Daphnia pulex: one gene and its partner. The protein of the gene in region 1 interacts with the protein of each later gene in a pairwise test. Links are inferred from orthologs where the notes say so. Each region holds a gene or a part of one and is shown on either strand. Other genes may lie near its edges.

Region 1 (6,681 bases):
GATGTAATTGTCGATATTCGATGGCTCTTGCTCTTTGATGGCCGCCTCCTTCATTTTCTCGCGGTTGCTTTCCAGCTGTTGACGATTGACTCGTTCCGTTTCACGTTGTTGACGTTCCATATCCATCAGCCTCTCCTGTTCAAATAAATAATTAACAATTAAATAAACTGGACTATAGGTTGGAAATCAAATTGATGTCATACCCGGTAACGTTGGTCAGCAATTTCCTTGTAGCGTTTGTTTCCGGCTTTCTTGAGCTCCCGCTCTTCCAGGTCGCGCAAGCGGAGAGCTTCCAGTCGATGTCGTTGTTCGTATTTCATTTTCTTGTAGTTGCGTTGAGCGATCATCCGCCGGACGTGTTTCTGGATGACCACGACCGCCCGAGTCTTCATGCGGAACTGGCGACGGATCAAATAGCCGCGGCAACGGGCCTGCAGGCCGACAATGTGGCCGCGCAAGTGCTGGAAGCGATGAGACAGGATTCGAGAGCGGATGAGAGCCTGCAGCCGCAGGAATCCGCTACGCATTTCCAGGTAGCGCTTGCGTTGGGCCTGACGTCTCCACTGGCGTTGAATGACTACAGCGGCGCTCCTGAGGCGAACGTAGCGACGTCTATGAATCCATCCGCGGATGCAACGCTGGATGATGACCAATTTCTTGGTTAGGACTCGATCGCGCTCCTGTTCCAGGAACAGATCCTGGGCATCCTTGAGAAAAACTTTGGTCTGACCCAGTTGGTAGTCCGTCTTTCCCAGTGTGGCCGAACAGATCCTGGCCGTCGCTTGCCTACAGTCCACCTGCAATTACAAATCGATTCATTTTAAAAACATCTGCAATGATAATTAAAATTATTTCATTATTTCAAATCGTTACTCTGTGAGGTGGTGGGCATCCAGAAATGAGGAATCGGTAACGTTCGACAAATTCGCGGAATGTGTGGCGAATAGGATAGCCGGCCCGCCGGATACGAATCGTTTCCATCATTCCCGAGTAGCGCAGTTGACGACAGCATAATTCACGATCGAAAACCTGAATTTACCGGAATGTTATTTTTAATATGTGTCAATTGAATTAATTGTTTTAATGAAAAAAATTTTTTTTTATTGTACCATCGATTGTTTCAGCTCGTTGGGTTTAATACAACGCACGAAAAATGGCTGACAAGCGCTGAGAGTCCGCATGAGCGAGTCGAGCGATTTTTTGAACTGGGCCGACAGAGTGGGCGCCTTTTTGCGGGTCTCCGAGCCCATGGAAATGTCTTCGGCGAAAAGCGTTCGCAGAAACTTGTTGGACGTCACGTGGACCAACTGCATCAGATCGGCGCTGAACGAATCTCGATTCTTGTCCAGAAATCCTCTGGCGTCGTAAAACACGACTCCGGCGAAATGATTGAAACCGAACGAGGCCTGCAGATCGGAACGAGGTTTCACGTAGTTCCTGTTGCTGCCGTGAGTCTTGTTCAACTTGGCCAACATGGTCTGGTCCGTGCCCTGGAAAAAAAAACACGAATTATATATAAACCCAATTATTAAACGAAAGACAATTATTTGAAATTAACCGAGTAATACTACCTTTGGGAATTTGGATTCTTCATCGATAAGTGCCATGATGTTCATCTGTTTAATTGCGATTAAATCAAGCGAGTCTTGATTGTCGACGAATTCGATGTGCTGCCAGCTGATATTCTCCTGATTGTATTCCTCTTGTTCCAACTTGAAAATGTGTCGGACGAAGAATTGCTGCAGATTCTCGTTGGCGTAGTTGATGCAAAACTGTTCGAAACTTTATTCGATCCAAAAACACAAATTAGATTCCGCCATTTCAACTAGTGTCCAGTCAATTCTTTAATACCTGTTGATGCTGAAATTTTCGAAACCAAAAATGTCCAGGACTCCGATGGAGCTCGTGTCCATTTCGTCGGATTTGCGGATGGCACAGTTCAACTTGGTAACAATCCAGATGAAGAGTCGCCCGTAAATACCTTTAGCAAAAGCATCTCGAACATCTACAGCTTGCACTTTGGATAACCTCGATACCTGCAAATACAATTCAATTATCTCTGTCAAATGGGAATTCAATTTCAATATTAACTGACCACTGAATCTCCCTGGGCGAAAATGGTTTTAGTGGTAAGGGCGTCAACCATCTCTCGAGGATCAACACCCAGCAACTTGGAGACGCGAATAGCGTTGGAAGGATCTGGAATTTCACTAGCGTCCATATTGCCTGGACAAAGGGAAGAATGGCGAGAATGTTTCCAACGTTAATATTTTGTTTACCGAGTCGTGAACAAAATGTTAAATGAACTTCTTACTGATGACAACTCCTTTGAAGGAAACGTTTCCCAGGTGCAAAAGAGCGGCCAGAACTCGAAGAATGTCGGAAATTTCCGGCTCAGTAAAGAGCAGGACTTTCATGGCCGATCGGATTTCGGCAAATTCATTGGCGTCGTTCCTTCCCTGGCACGTCGTGCTGTTGCCCTGTAACATGTTAAAAAACCCAATTTTGAATAACGCATTCCACTATATAACAAATACAATGGGAATAAATTGAACTTGTATATACCCCAGTGAGGTATTTGTATTGGCTGGCATCCTGCAAATCGAATTTCTGCTTGTCTTCTTTGGTCATGCCGGCCAGCATGCAATAAAAGATGTGGTAGTTCCTCTCGCCAGGATTCTGGGCCACAATGCGCGATTTCTCCAGCAGGTACTGCTCGATATTGGCTCCTTCGATTGTGCCGTGTTTGTTGAAGCTGATGTCGATGTACTTGCCGAAACGAGACGAGTTGTCATTCCGCACAGTTTTGGCGTTTCCGAAGGCTAATTAACCAAATCAAATGACGTCATTTCATACTTTAAGGGGAATTATTTTAATAAATACCTTCCAAGATGGGATTAGCTTCAAGGATTTGCTGCTCGATCCACGAATGTTTCCCGCTAATGGCCGCCAGGTATTGCAAAATCAATTTGGTACTTTCAGTTTTACCAGCGCCAGACTCACCGCTGATAACGCAATAAGAAAAGAAATAAATGATTAATCTCGGGTAACCCAGGTGTGCGCTGAGAATTGAGAACATCAAGAAACAACCAAGACGAAATGGAATTTCGACCGTAATTTTATGTAATCTATTAAACAATGTACAAGTCTCACCTGATAACGATGCACTGATCCTGTCGAAAGCGTTTCATTTGAGAGTAGCAATTATCGCCGATGGCGAAAATGTGCGGAGGCAATTCGCCGATTTTCCGCTCCCTGTACATTTTAATTTGCTCGGCCGTGTAAATGGGCAGAATCTGGTAGGGATTGACGGCCACCAGAATCGAACCGGTGTAAGTCTGTTACCAAAAAATCAAATCAACAATTGATCATCTCATAAAAATAAATCAATGAAATGAGTCTATGACGTACGTATATGATGCTTTCATTGTAGCGAATGTGCAGATTGCGCAAGATACCAGCCTCGTGCAAATCACCCAGTGAAATCATATCCTGGACGCCCTGAATGGACGTCGGATGCATGGCTTTGATGCGTCGTTCCGGCGTCAGCCATTGTTCCTGCGCAATTCAATTTAAAAAATGTGACACAAAATTGTGAATGACACTTTTAAGCAAATAAATACACAAGAAGGAGGAGGGGAAAACCAATTTGACGTTGTGACGTTCTAAATTGCTCTTATCTGTGTGGCTTAGATCGAGACTTGCGGTCACCAACGCATTTCGAAACGGTTTGAAACAAAAGGTGGGGTGCTGTTGCCTCACCATTTCGTGCTGACGGCTGATGGGGAAAAATAAAAGACAAAAAGGTGACATAAGACTTACTTTGCCGTCGTCGTCGACGACCTGGATCCGTTTGCCCTCGGCCGAAACGACCCGGGCCCCGATCGCCACATCGAATTCTCGTTTGGTGCTGGGCTCGATCCAGACATAGTCGCCCTAATAGAAATGAAATTAATTTCCAAATTGATTATCATATTAAACGAGCAAGTGTCACAACATTTTGTTATATTTTTCCATCGAAATTGGAACGAATCTCCACGGGGGGTGGACTTGGTTCACAAAGAAAAAAAACAGACAAAAATGAAGTTGTAACGGGATTGTGGACGAAGCAGAGCGGAGGATTGTCGTGCAATAAGAATGGGACATTGACATGATCATTGGCCCGTATGTCCACCTTCTGTTTGGCAAGGGGAAAACCGTGCTGACCTCGAAATAACAACAAAACACATGGGCACTGGGCAGTTTGGAAAGTTGGACGCGGCAACAAGTGCCCACCAGTTCTAGGGAAAATTAGGAACTCACGTAGGTAAGAATCTGAGTCGACGAGCCATCGCCTTCTTCCGACATCTTTTCTTCCAGCCGCCAACGTTAATCTCGACTTGACAAATAATGGCGACAACACAGAGAGACCATGGACGATCGTGACTTGATTGAACTACAATCAACGTATGCCCTTAATTTCCAAAATCAAAACTTTCACTCTCCCGAATAATCAGAAACTTGAGAATTCAACCGACGTCAAACCTTCAAACTCGATGCGAACAAACTGTTTGATGTGATAATGGCGAGCAGGGAGAGGCCAGCACACCGTCTTATCTCTACTTCCCAAATGATAAGGAAAAAAATGAAAATGACTCAAAGTTCACGTGATCAATTGGCATTCATTAACTGACGTCTAGTCCAAACACACATTGCGTATCACAAGGATTGGGGAAAAAATCCCCCCAACGAAAAAAACATTCCTTGTTTGATTACATTCTCTTTTATTTTTCCACTTATTGCTTGGCTACCGCCCTGAACAGTCAGCTGTTTTCTCAGTGTCCACTTCTTTTTCTTTTTCTTAGTAGATATTTGGAAACACTCGCAGAGCCCAAAAGGTATACTGTATACGTAATAATAATAAGAAAAGAACAGCAGGTGGATGGCCGCAAGAGTCTAAAGCACGTACGCCTTGCAACGAAAAGAGATTCCAACAACCGCCTTTGAATGAGTTGGCAGCCACACTGAGAGTCGCAGCTAGGGGAAAAATATATATAAAACATTAAGTTACAGCTATATACTATACTCGCTGAATAGATTCAGATTCCCTCTCTGTGTTCTTCAGCCAGCAGTTTTACCTCCGGTTCTTTTCTTTTTTTTCAGTTTTCTCGACTTTTAGTTCCGCGTCGTTGCATCTTTCAGAATACGTTGTCCTTAATCGTTAAACGTTCATTGGCGGTAGACGACACATGTGTGTAGAGACACACACACGCACTCCCTCATCTCGTGTGTGTGTGTGTGTATAGCATTAGCTGCGATATTGTTTTCCGATTCTTTTTCACGGTGGTAAATGACGATGACGACCTCCTATATACTATACACTGCGGTCGCACCATCCAAGAGAAAATACCCAGACTGTTGCCGAACCCGTTATCTCCTTCAGTACATGTTTTTGAACCTTCTTCCGTCAACTGACTTTTGTGGGTGTCTCTTCTTCTTCTTCTTCTTCTTCTTCTAGTCCATGCGCTATTACACAATATGGCCCTGGAAGAACAATATAACCAAAGAAAAGGCAACAACATCTTGGTGGTGGAGGTCTCACTTCTCTTGTGTGACTCTTGTGGTGTAACCTAAACACATAACAGCAGATGTGTGTACCGGAAAAAGAAGAAAAAAAATCATCACTGCGCGACCCAATTGCGTCACTTTTTTCTGTCTGTCTTTGTTGTTTCGTTCTGGGTTTCACAGTTGGATTTGTTTTTGTTTTTTCTCTCTCCTAAAAATGTTTTCCAACCCAAACAAAAATGTCTAACCCCCTTTCGCTTTATTAGGAATCATCAGTCGGCCGATATTTTAAAAACCGGACGTCCGCTCGCCCGCCATTCAAAACCGGAAATAAAACTTCCGTTTCGGATATATGAAAGGCGCGTTGTTGAGTTTCATCGGCTGTTTAATTTTACTGAATGTCTGGCTGCGGTCGACCAATGTATGTTACGTGTGTCGGGCGTTGGCTTTTTTTGCTGTTCATCTCTCAGTGGAGAAGAGAGCGCAGGTACACCATCACCGGGAGAGAGAGGGTCATTGACCAACAGGCAGCCAACAACAGCCGTGTGCTCAGCAGCCGCGTGATGAAGTAAATACATTTACACAAACACCCACGGCGGAGAAATGTCAATTTCAATAGCGGCCATGCCCATTATTCAACATTTCCATGACTGACATACGTTGCCTTTTCTTTCTTTCCTCCATGAACCAAGTAACAACAAGATGACTAGGAATTTTTTTAAAAAATGAATGACTTACCCGAGAAACGATGACCATTTTCTTATATTTTTTGGTAAGTCCTGGAGATTCGTGGCAATTCGTCCAAAAGTCCACACACAAGGCCGCCGTCGTCGTCGGTCGTCCGCGCGGGCCGTTATTCACCGCTGCCCGCCACTGCGGCACAGCACGCAATTATTTTCCGCCGCCTGTCAGTCCGAAAAAGAAAGAAAGAAAAAACTATACCACAAAAAATAATAACACCATCAAAAACTCTCAACGGTCAGCAGCAGCTCAAGAACGACAGAAAATACGCAATAAATCAATAATTTTGGTACGTTATTATTATGCATGGAAATGAGGACGTTTGTTATTATTATCAGGTTGACAAAAAACCAATTGACAGCCACAGAGCTCAAGGTGGAAAATGGAGTTCTCCGG
Region 2 (6,828 bases), on another chromosome or scaffold:
AGGCCACACGAAAAGTTGTAAAAACAATGAACACCACGTCATCTAGGAGTGAGATTGCTAACTGCACTCACCTGAGTCACCACTTTTTTCGAATCGCCCGCCTGAAGAAAGACGGGTTTAAACGATGGAAACCGTGGGGCATTATCGTTCACGTCCAAAATTCGAATCGAAATGGCAATGGGTGATGTAGTGGCTCCTCCAGCTTTTCGAGCGATCGCCTTTTTTGTCGTGAAACGTGCGAAAAGCCCAAGCACACATCGTGAATCAAAGAATACAAAAGCGATCACGATTTTATCCCACTTTCGGTTTCAATTGATGAATGGGCGTTACCTGGAAAGTCAGGGTCGATGGATTGGGTGCGTCACGATCGAGATTGGGCACAGCAACTTCCATGATTCCAACCTTGTTGACTCGGAAAGCGGCCGACGTCAGCTCGATTTCATATTGAGAAAGCGGATTCTCAGATTCCTACGTGACACCGAGGCAATAATGAAACTTGGATTACAAGAGGCCCAGCACACAATTGGCGTCGAGTTATTTCCCCCTCCCCATCGATGATGGCTATCATACCGAGTCTTCCTCGACGACTTTCAGCTGCAAAGGTTGGCCCTTTCTTCGTGCGGATATGACGGGAGTTCCCACCGGCGAATTCTCATCCACAAAACCTTCCAGGGCTTCGGCAACCAGCCGCGGTGCGAAATTGTTGTCGTTGCCCACCTCAATGCTAAGCGTGGCGCTCGAGGATCTCTTCTTTGACGTCATCTCTTCGGCCTGGAGTAAAAAATGTTTGACGTCATCCATCCGCAACTGAAATTGGCCATTAACTTGATCGAAAATTGTGACTATCGCTCACCTTGACGATCAAATCGAATTTGTTGACCACTGAGCGATTGGCCGGCTTAATCTGCTTTACCCAGCCGGAATTGGGATTGATTTCGAAGTACTCTCGGAAATTGGGCGGAGATCCCTGGCCGAAAGTGTAGCGGATCGGTGCCAGGCTTGAAGGGTCCGTGTCGAGAGCCAAAATTCGATCCGGCTTCAGCGTCAACAAACCGGACGTGACGCCACTGATGATCTTCGTGAACAAAAAAATAATAATAAAAAAAAAGACAAGAAAAATGTTAGGAGGGGCGTGACGATATAATCGATGGATGCGATCAATTACGGTCGTCGTGTAATTCGGAGTGATGCAGACGCCTCGATCGTTGAGCGGACAACCGACGTATTGGAAGGCCGGCGGCTGGTCTTCGACGTCACTGACTTTGACCGTCAAAGTGGCCGTCGACGAGAGCCGATCCTGGGCATTCAGCGCTCGATCCTGCATCGCATTAATATTCCCATCACAATCCGGTTAGAAATTATATTCAAATAATCGGAAAAATGTTTGGTCTGACCGAAGCGACGATGGTGACCAAATAGCGACGGACCGACTCGTAGTCGATGGGCTGGCGCAAAGTCAGGACGGGAATGTGGGCGGCGGGAAATTCAAACATGCCAAATCCATCGAAGGCATCCAACGCCGGATTAGTTTCATTGAAGAGGCTGACGTTTCCGCCGCTGCGCATTCGTTGCGAATTGGGCACCACTTTGTACTCCACCAGAGCGTTGATTCCGGCATCCGCATCCTTAGCCTCAATATCGCGGATGACGATCCCACCCACCGGCAGATCCTGTGCGACAATAACAAAACAAAAGAGAACAACGTTACATTCCATGTAACAAAAGATGTAGGCCAAGTTATCGATTGGCGTCTTCCATATAACGTCTCTATTATCATCTCTCCATTGTCGCTGACACGCCCAGCTGGAGAAGCTTTCTTTCTATCTCATCTTTCGACTTGAAAATGACGGTCCCTTATTGGGCCGGAAATTTGAGTGAGAGACATCAGGCAACATTAAAAGGAGAGAGAAGAGAGAAGCCCCGGCCGGAGACTATATATAACAAACAACAATGGCGAATTGATTGAATCAAAGAGTAGGTCAGTGGGCTCTCAATAGTTGTAATAGCTGTTGGAAATTATGGCGGCCAGCAGTTCACGCTCTGCTGAATTCCTCATTGTCGGGCTGCTGCTGCTGGCCGTTTCAAATGACCACCGTACAAGGGCCGGATATGGGAGGAAACACTGGCCACCGTTTCCGGTTACAACAGTCAACCCTCCTTTTTACCATTGAGTCGATCCCGTCAACAAGGCCTTTACAAACGAAATTCAACAAAATGGGAAACCCTAGAAATTGGTTTGATACCTCCGGAATGGTGACGCTGTACGAGCTGTTGAGGAAGACGGGGGCCTTGTCGTTGACATCCGAGATCCGGACAATGACGGGAATATTCCGCCGCCTGCCAGTGGCCGAATTGGTGCACGACACCTGAGTCATCAAAGTTGTCCGTGAGATAATGAATGAATTAAGTTGTTGATTCGTTACTTGGAGGATGACGGAAGAAATGTCTTGGTGATCGCGATCCAGCGGCGACGTCAATTTGAGTTCTTTTCCCAGCAGGGCAAACACGTTCGGATTGCTGGAACTGGCTATAGTCAGACTGATTTCACCGGCGGGCACGTCGCCAACAATGGGCAGCACTTTTGGCCGAGTGCTCTGATTCGTTTCTATTCGTTTGTTTTTTCCACACCAAAAATAAAAGGAAAGAAAATAACAACAACCGAAAGAGAGAAAAAAAAGCGACAGGAACTTATATAGAACTATAATATTACGTGGCCCGCGGCTCTCTTCAATGTCCAGGATGACGTTGGACTGTCCGGATTCGATGTCACAGACTGCGGAGAGTACATAACAACCAAAATTGATATCCGCAATAATAATCGACACACAATAAAACCGGATAAAACGATAAACTCACGTTCGGCGTCAATGGCGACACTCAGGCAAACCAACAACACCAGAGCAAAGACTGGGCAGCTCGTCCTAGGTCGAAAAACAAACAAATAACTGTGGATTCATTCATACTTTCGGTATAAACTCTTTCAAATGGGGTCAGATTGACCCACAGCCAACAAAGGTGAAAAAAAAAAGAGTGTTATTCGACCACCAGGGAACTTGATCCTCCTGTGGTATGACCTGGACACACCAGCACAGACCCAGGTAGACATAGACACACACACAATAATGGTGGTGGTGGGGGTACACAAGTTTCCGCATTGCCCCGTTGTGTCCTCAAAAAATAAATTCCACATTACCGAGAAATGCCGACACAACAACAACGGAAATGAAACTGCCACTATACGCTTCCGTTTCCACACGTCGCTTCCAGCCGAAAAAAATAAATAAAATTCATCATTTTTCTACAAATATCTTTTTTTTTTGGCCAATTTATTTCGGTGTGAAAAAAAAATGTGCGGGGCGCGGTTTTTTAATTGAAAAAATAAAACTTTCCAATTTCCCATTGTTTTTACGTAATGATTGGAAAATATACCGTACGACAAAAAATCTATAAATTTTAAGAGACACGAAAACGAGATCCTTGCGAAACGACATGAACTTTTCGTTTTTTTTTTTTAAGGTTTTTGTGGCCCCGTCAAGAAACCGTTAGGAAATTTCCTCCTATTGGAAAACCTGCCCCCACATACACATTCAACAATGCGGTTCCCTTCTCCATCAACTTGTTTTTCTCTAAATTTCGATAAACATTATTTTTTTCTTTTTTTTTCTTTGATTCCTTTACCTGCCGGCGCTCCTCTTGCTCGGCAACCTGTCCATCCTCGCTCCTTCACAAAATAGTTTGGCAATTTTTTTTTTCACGATAAATATTCCGATTCAAAGTTTTCTCACTGATGCAACATTCTTTTTCACTATATTGAACAACACTTGGCGGTATACACGATAGTTCACATGGCTGTTGGATGATTGATTCACGGACGACGGGTGCAAATGATTTCAACAACGAAATGAATCCCGATGGATATCGCACGCACTTAACTGGGCGATTAACTTCACTTTGTTCGCGAGTAGCGTTGAAACAAGTTGCTGCGAGTTTCGGCTGCGCATCTGTTGAATGCCAAATGGGGAATGCCGACCAGCCCGTGTTGTCTACCTGTCCTTATACACACGAACATACCTGGAGGGTCCAGGAGGAGGAGGAGGGGAGCAAATGAAAACCGAAACGAGAGACTCAAAAGGAATGGTAAGGCAGCAGCAGCAGTTATTTTTCTCTTTTTCTCCTTTTCATTCCTCTTTTCCGAGCCATTTCCCCCCTTCGTTCTTCTTCTTCTACCTACCTGACACCCACCTGTGGGCTCTACACACGTAAGAATCCGCTAGATTTCAATACTCTTCCTCTCCCTACAAGGTAGAAAAGAAAAGAAAAAAAAGGTTACATATAGTTAATCCGAATTTTCTCCTTTTAACTCGATTAATACCGTCTGGTGTGGGTCGTTACTTTCTCTCTGCCAACCAACAAAAACGAGGCCGTTCCTGTATGTAATATAATCACCCGTCCTTCAATAACGACACAATGGATGTTGTACAGTACACAACAGTATACAACATCTTATGAGATAAGAATGGCGCGATCCAGCCGGTTGTATCTCCTCCTTTTTTTCTTTTGAATTTGCCGCCTGATTTCTTTCTTTGACTATTATGGCGATGTAATACGACTACACACTCCGTCGGGATCTTTTAGAATGCTGGAGGATTTGTCGGCCTCTTTTTTGTTGTTGGGCGGAAAATGGCGTGCGGATCTATTCCGCGCTCCGCCGCACACTGACGTTATTCTCCTCCGATGATAAAAGAAGAATGGGAAAATCAAATCATTTCTTTCTCTTTTTTTTTTGTATGTGTGTGTCTATTATCTTTCTCTCTTTGCACATTGTTAAACCGTGAGCATTCGATTGTGTTCCATCTCCGGTCAGAAAAATAAAAGATGAAATAGTATTCTGGTTGTATTTTATTATTATTTAATTTTTTGACCCAGTTGGAATTGATTTGACAAAATAACCAAATGCATTCGCCATTAGCCGTGATGTTGCGTAGGGGTCCCGCCGCCCGGGGGCTTACTGAACATCTCCAGGAGAAAAAAGAAAGAATAAACGTAACATACTACACAAAATGTGTACATAACTGATGGTGGGGGCTGTGTCAGAGAGAGACGACAAGATCCCGTTGCCACACATTTCGTGATATTTGTGAGCGAAATAGAGAAGATGCGCGACAAAGAACTGGTGGAACGAGAAGAACCGGAATCCGGCCGCCCAGCAAAACATCTGCCACGACGGAATTGGAGAATCAGATGATTTCCCTCCCAACTGTTTTTCTCTTCTCCTTATCCAAAATGGAAGGCCATCATCAAACAAAAACTCTTGGCGATATTATTCTTTTTTCATTTTCTCGGTCAGAAAAAGACGACTGGTTTCGGGATGAATCCAGGTCGACTTCCGCCATCTCTGCTGCCCTCGTTCCTCTTTTATTGTTGTCCCCCCTCCTTTTTATATAAACTTAAATAACCATTCGCTGGAAGTCGCTTCATTATTTTCTTTCTTATTTAAAAATCGACATCTTACGTAATTCAATAATAAATGGAAAACAATTGAATTGTAAACGTGTGTGGGAGGCGGGATATGTTGTCTTTACAATGAACAGAAAGTTACATCACGAGGGATTCGACTAAGATGTGTGTCGCTGGTCCGCCCCGGCACATCAGTTTCCCCGAGATCCCATTCACTCGACTCCCCCGGCTGACATTTAGAAGGAAAACGCCCCCGTACCACCAAGTTTCTGACAGCGACAACAGGGAGAGACTTTGTCATCTGGGAGGTAGGGAATTCAACCCCAAAAAAATAAAATCCCTACTGCACATGCAAAGCGGAAGTGCACGTGAACGGCCGACTCGTGTTGAGCTCACAGTCGGCTGTCATACGACGGGCAACTGATCCCGGAAAAATAAACCCCAAAAAATAAAGAAGTTGCGCCCCTTGTTCGTGTAACCGGTAAAAGTTGCTGTCGGCGTATCGATCCTTCTTCTTCTTCTTTTTAGAAGTTTGACGCGAGTATATATGCGATTGATCGAAATGAATTGACGGATGTAGCACATATGCGGGATCGATCCGAGTGCAAAGTCCTCGACGAACTCTTTAATGATTTCGGTATCAATAGACCTTGTCGCTGTGTGAGATGCGATCCTGCAGTCGACACTTTTCGAACCAATTGAAATGGAACGGCAACTTTTTTGTTTGTTTTTTTCACACGCAGACTCTTCGACCTACTTGAAATTGAATTTGATCCAATCAAATTTGATTTGTGTCAAGGGTGTTTCCCGGGGGCGATTTAGAAATAACAAGATATATCTCTTATACTGTAGAGATTCTCTTGTGATATGTGGAGCATTTTCAATCGACGACTCAAAGGATCGAGCAAAAACATTTGGGGCGATGATAAACGACAGAGAAACGTGTCGCCCGTTATTGATTGGCCGTACATGGCGATTGTCCAGCCAGCCAGAAATGTATGTGTGCATACCCACTTATTGGCGCCGGGCGACTTGCATAAATTAAAAAAAAAAAAAAAAGAAGAAGATCAAACAGGTCGTCATTCGGGATACACACACACACACCCCGCCAACACACACGCGGAAGCGAATGGGAAAAGGTCGAATTTAGACATTATTAAATACAGCACTCCTCCTTCTTTTTTATATATTTAAGGAAAAGTTGTCCCGTTACGACGATTCCGCACACTTGATCAAAGCTGGGTGGGAGATGAGGGGAAATCATTCGGAGAAAATTGACTGAATTGGGCCGTGTATTTCTCTCATTCGATCGATAATTATTTGGTCTAGCGAAATTGAACAGATATTTACATAATCAGGAATCATTGAATA

Evidence for each region. The genes of interacting proteins can lie anywhere in the genome.
Region 2: the proteins of myosin-VIIa-like (region 1) and cadherin-99C-like interact in binary tests that used the Drosophila melanogaster proteins (3 or more experiments, as listed by UniProt). The link is inferred for Daphnia pulex from reciprocal best matches to the Drosophila melanogaster genes ck and Cad99C.

The regions. Positions count from the first base shown.
Region 1 is NC_060022.1:1,965,881-1,972,561, reverse strand, and holds the start of myosin-VIIa-like, read right to left. Parts: upstream 4,559-6,681; 5' UTR 4,348-4,558; coding exon 4,303-4,347; intron 3,937-4,302; coding exon 3,823-3,936; intron 3,559-3,822; coding exon 3,412-3,558; intron 3,339-3,411; coding exon 3,154-3,338; intron 3,006-3,153; coding exon 2,884-3,005; intron 2,823-2,883; coding exon 2,566-2,822; intron 2,481-2,565; coding exon 2,315-2,480; intron 2,227-2,314; coding exon 2,096-2,226; intron 2,037-2,095; coding exon 1,852-2,036; intron 1,783-1,851; coding exon 1,572-1,782; intron 1,491-1,571; coding exon 1,110-1,490; intron 1,030-1,109; coding exon 874-1,029; intron 798-873; coding exon 204-797; intron 136-203; coding exon 1-135. UniProt on the Drosophila melanogaster protein: Myosins are actin-based motor molecules with ATPase activity. Unconventional myosins serve in intracellular movements: can function in cells as a single-molecule cargo transporter.
Region 2 is NC_060025.1:3,448,702-3,455,529, forward strand, and holds the start of cadherin-99C-like, read right to left. Parts: upstream 4,035-6,828; 5' UTR 3,714-4,034; coding exon 3,679-3,713; intron 2,922-3,678; coding exon 2,857-2,921; intron 2,774-2,856; coding exon 2,711-2,773; intron 2,606-2,710; coding exon 2,424-2,605; intron 2,367-2,423; coding exon 2,244-2,366; intron 1,671-2,243; coding exon 1,395-1,670; intron 1,319-1,394; coding exon 1,166-1,318; intron 1,076-1,165; coding exon 854-1,075; intron 772-853; coding exon 571-771; intron 469-570; coding exon 331-468; intron 219-330; coding exon 72-218; intron 1-71. UniProt on the Drosophila melanogaster protein: Cadherin that functions in epithelial morphogenesis and the intestine epithelial immune response. Essential for female fertility. Regulates the length and organization of apical microvilli in developing follicle cells and salivary glands.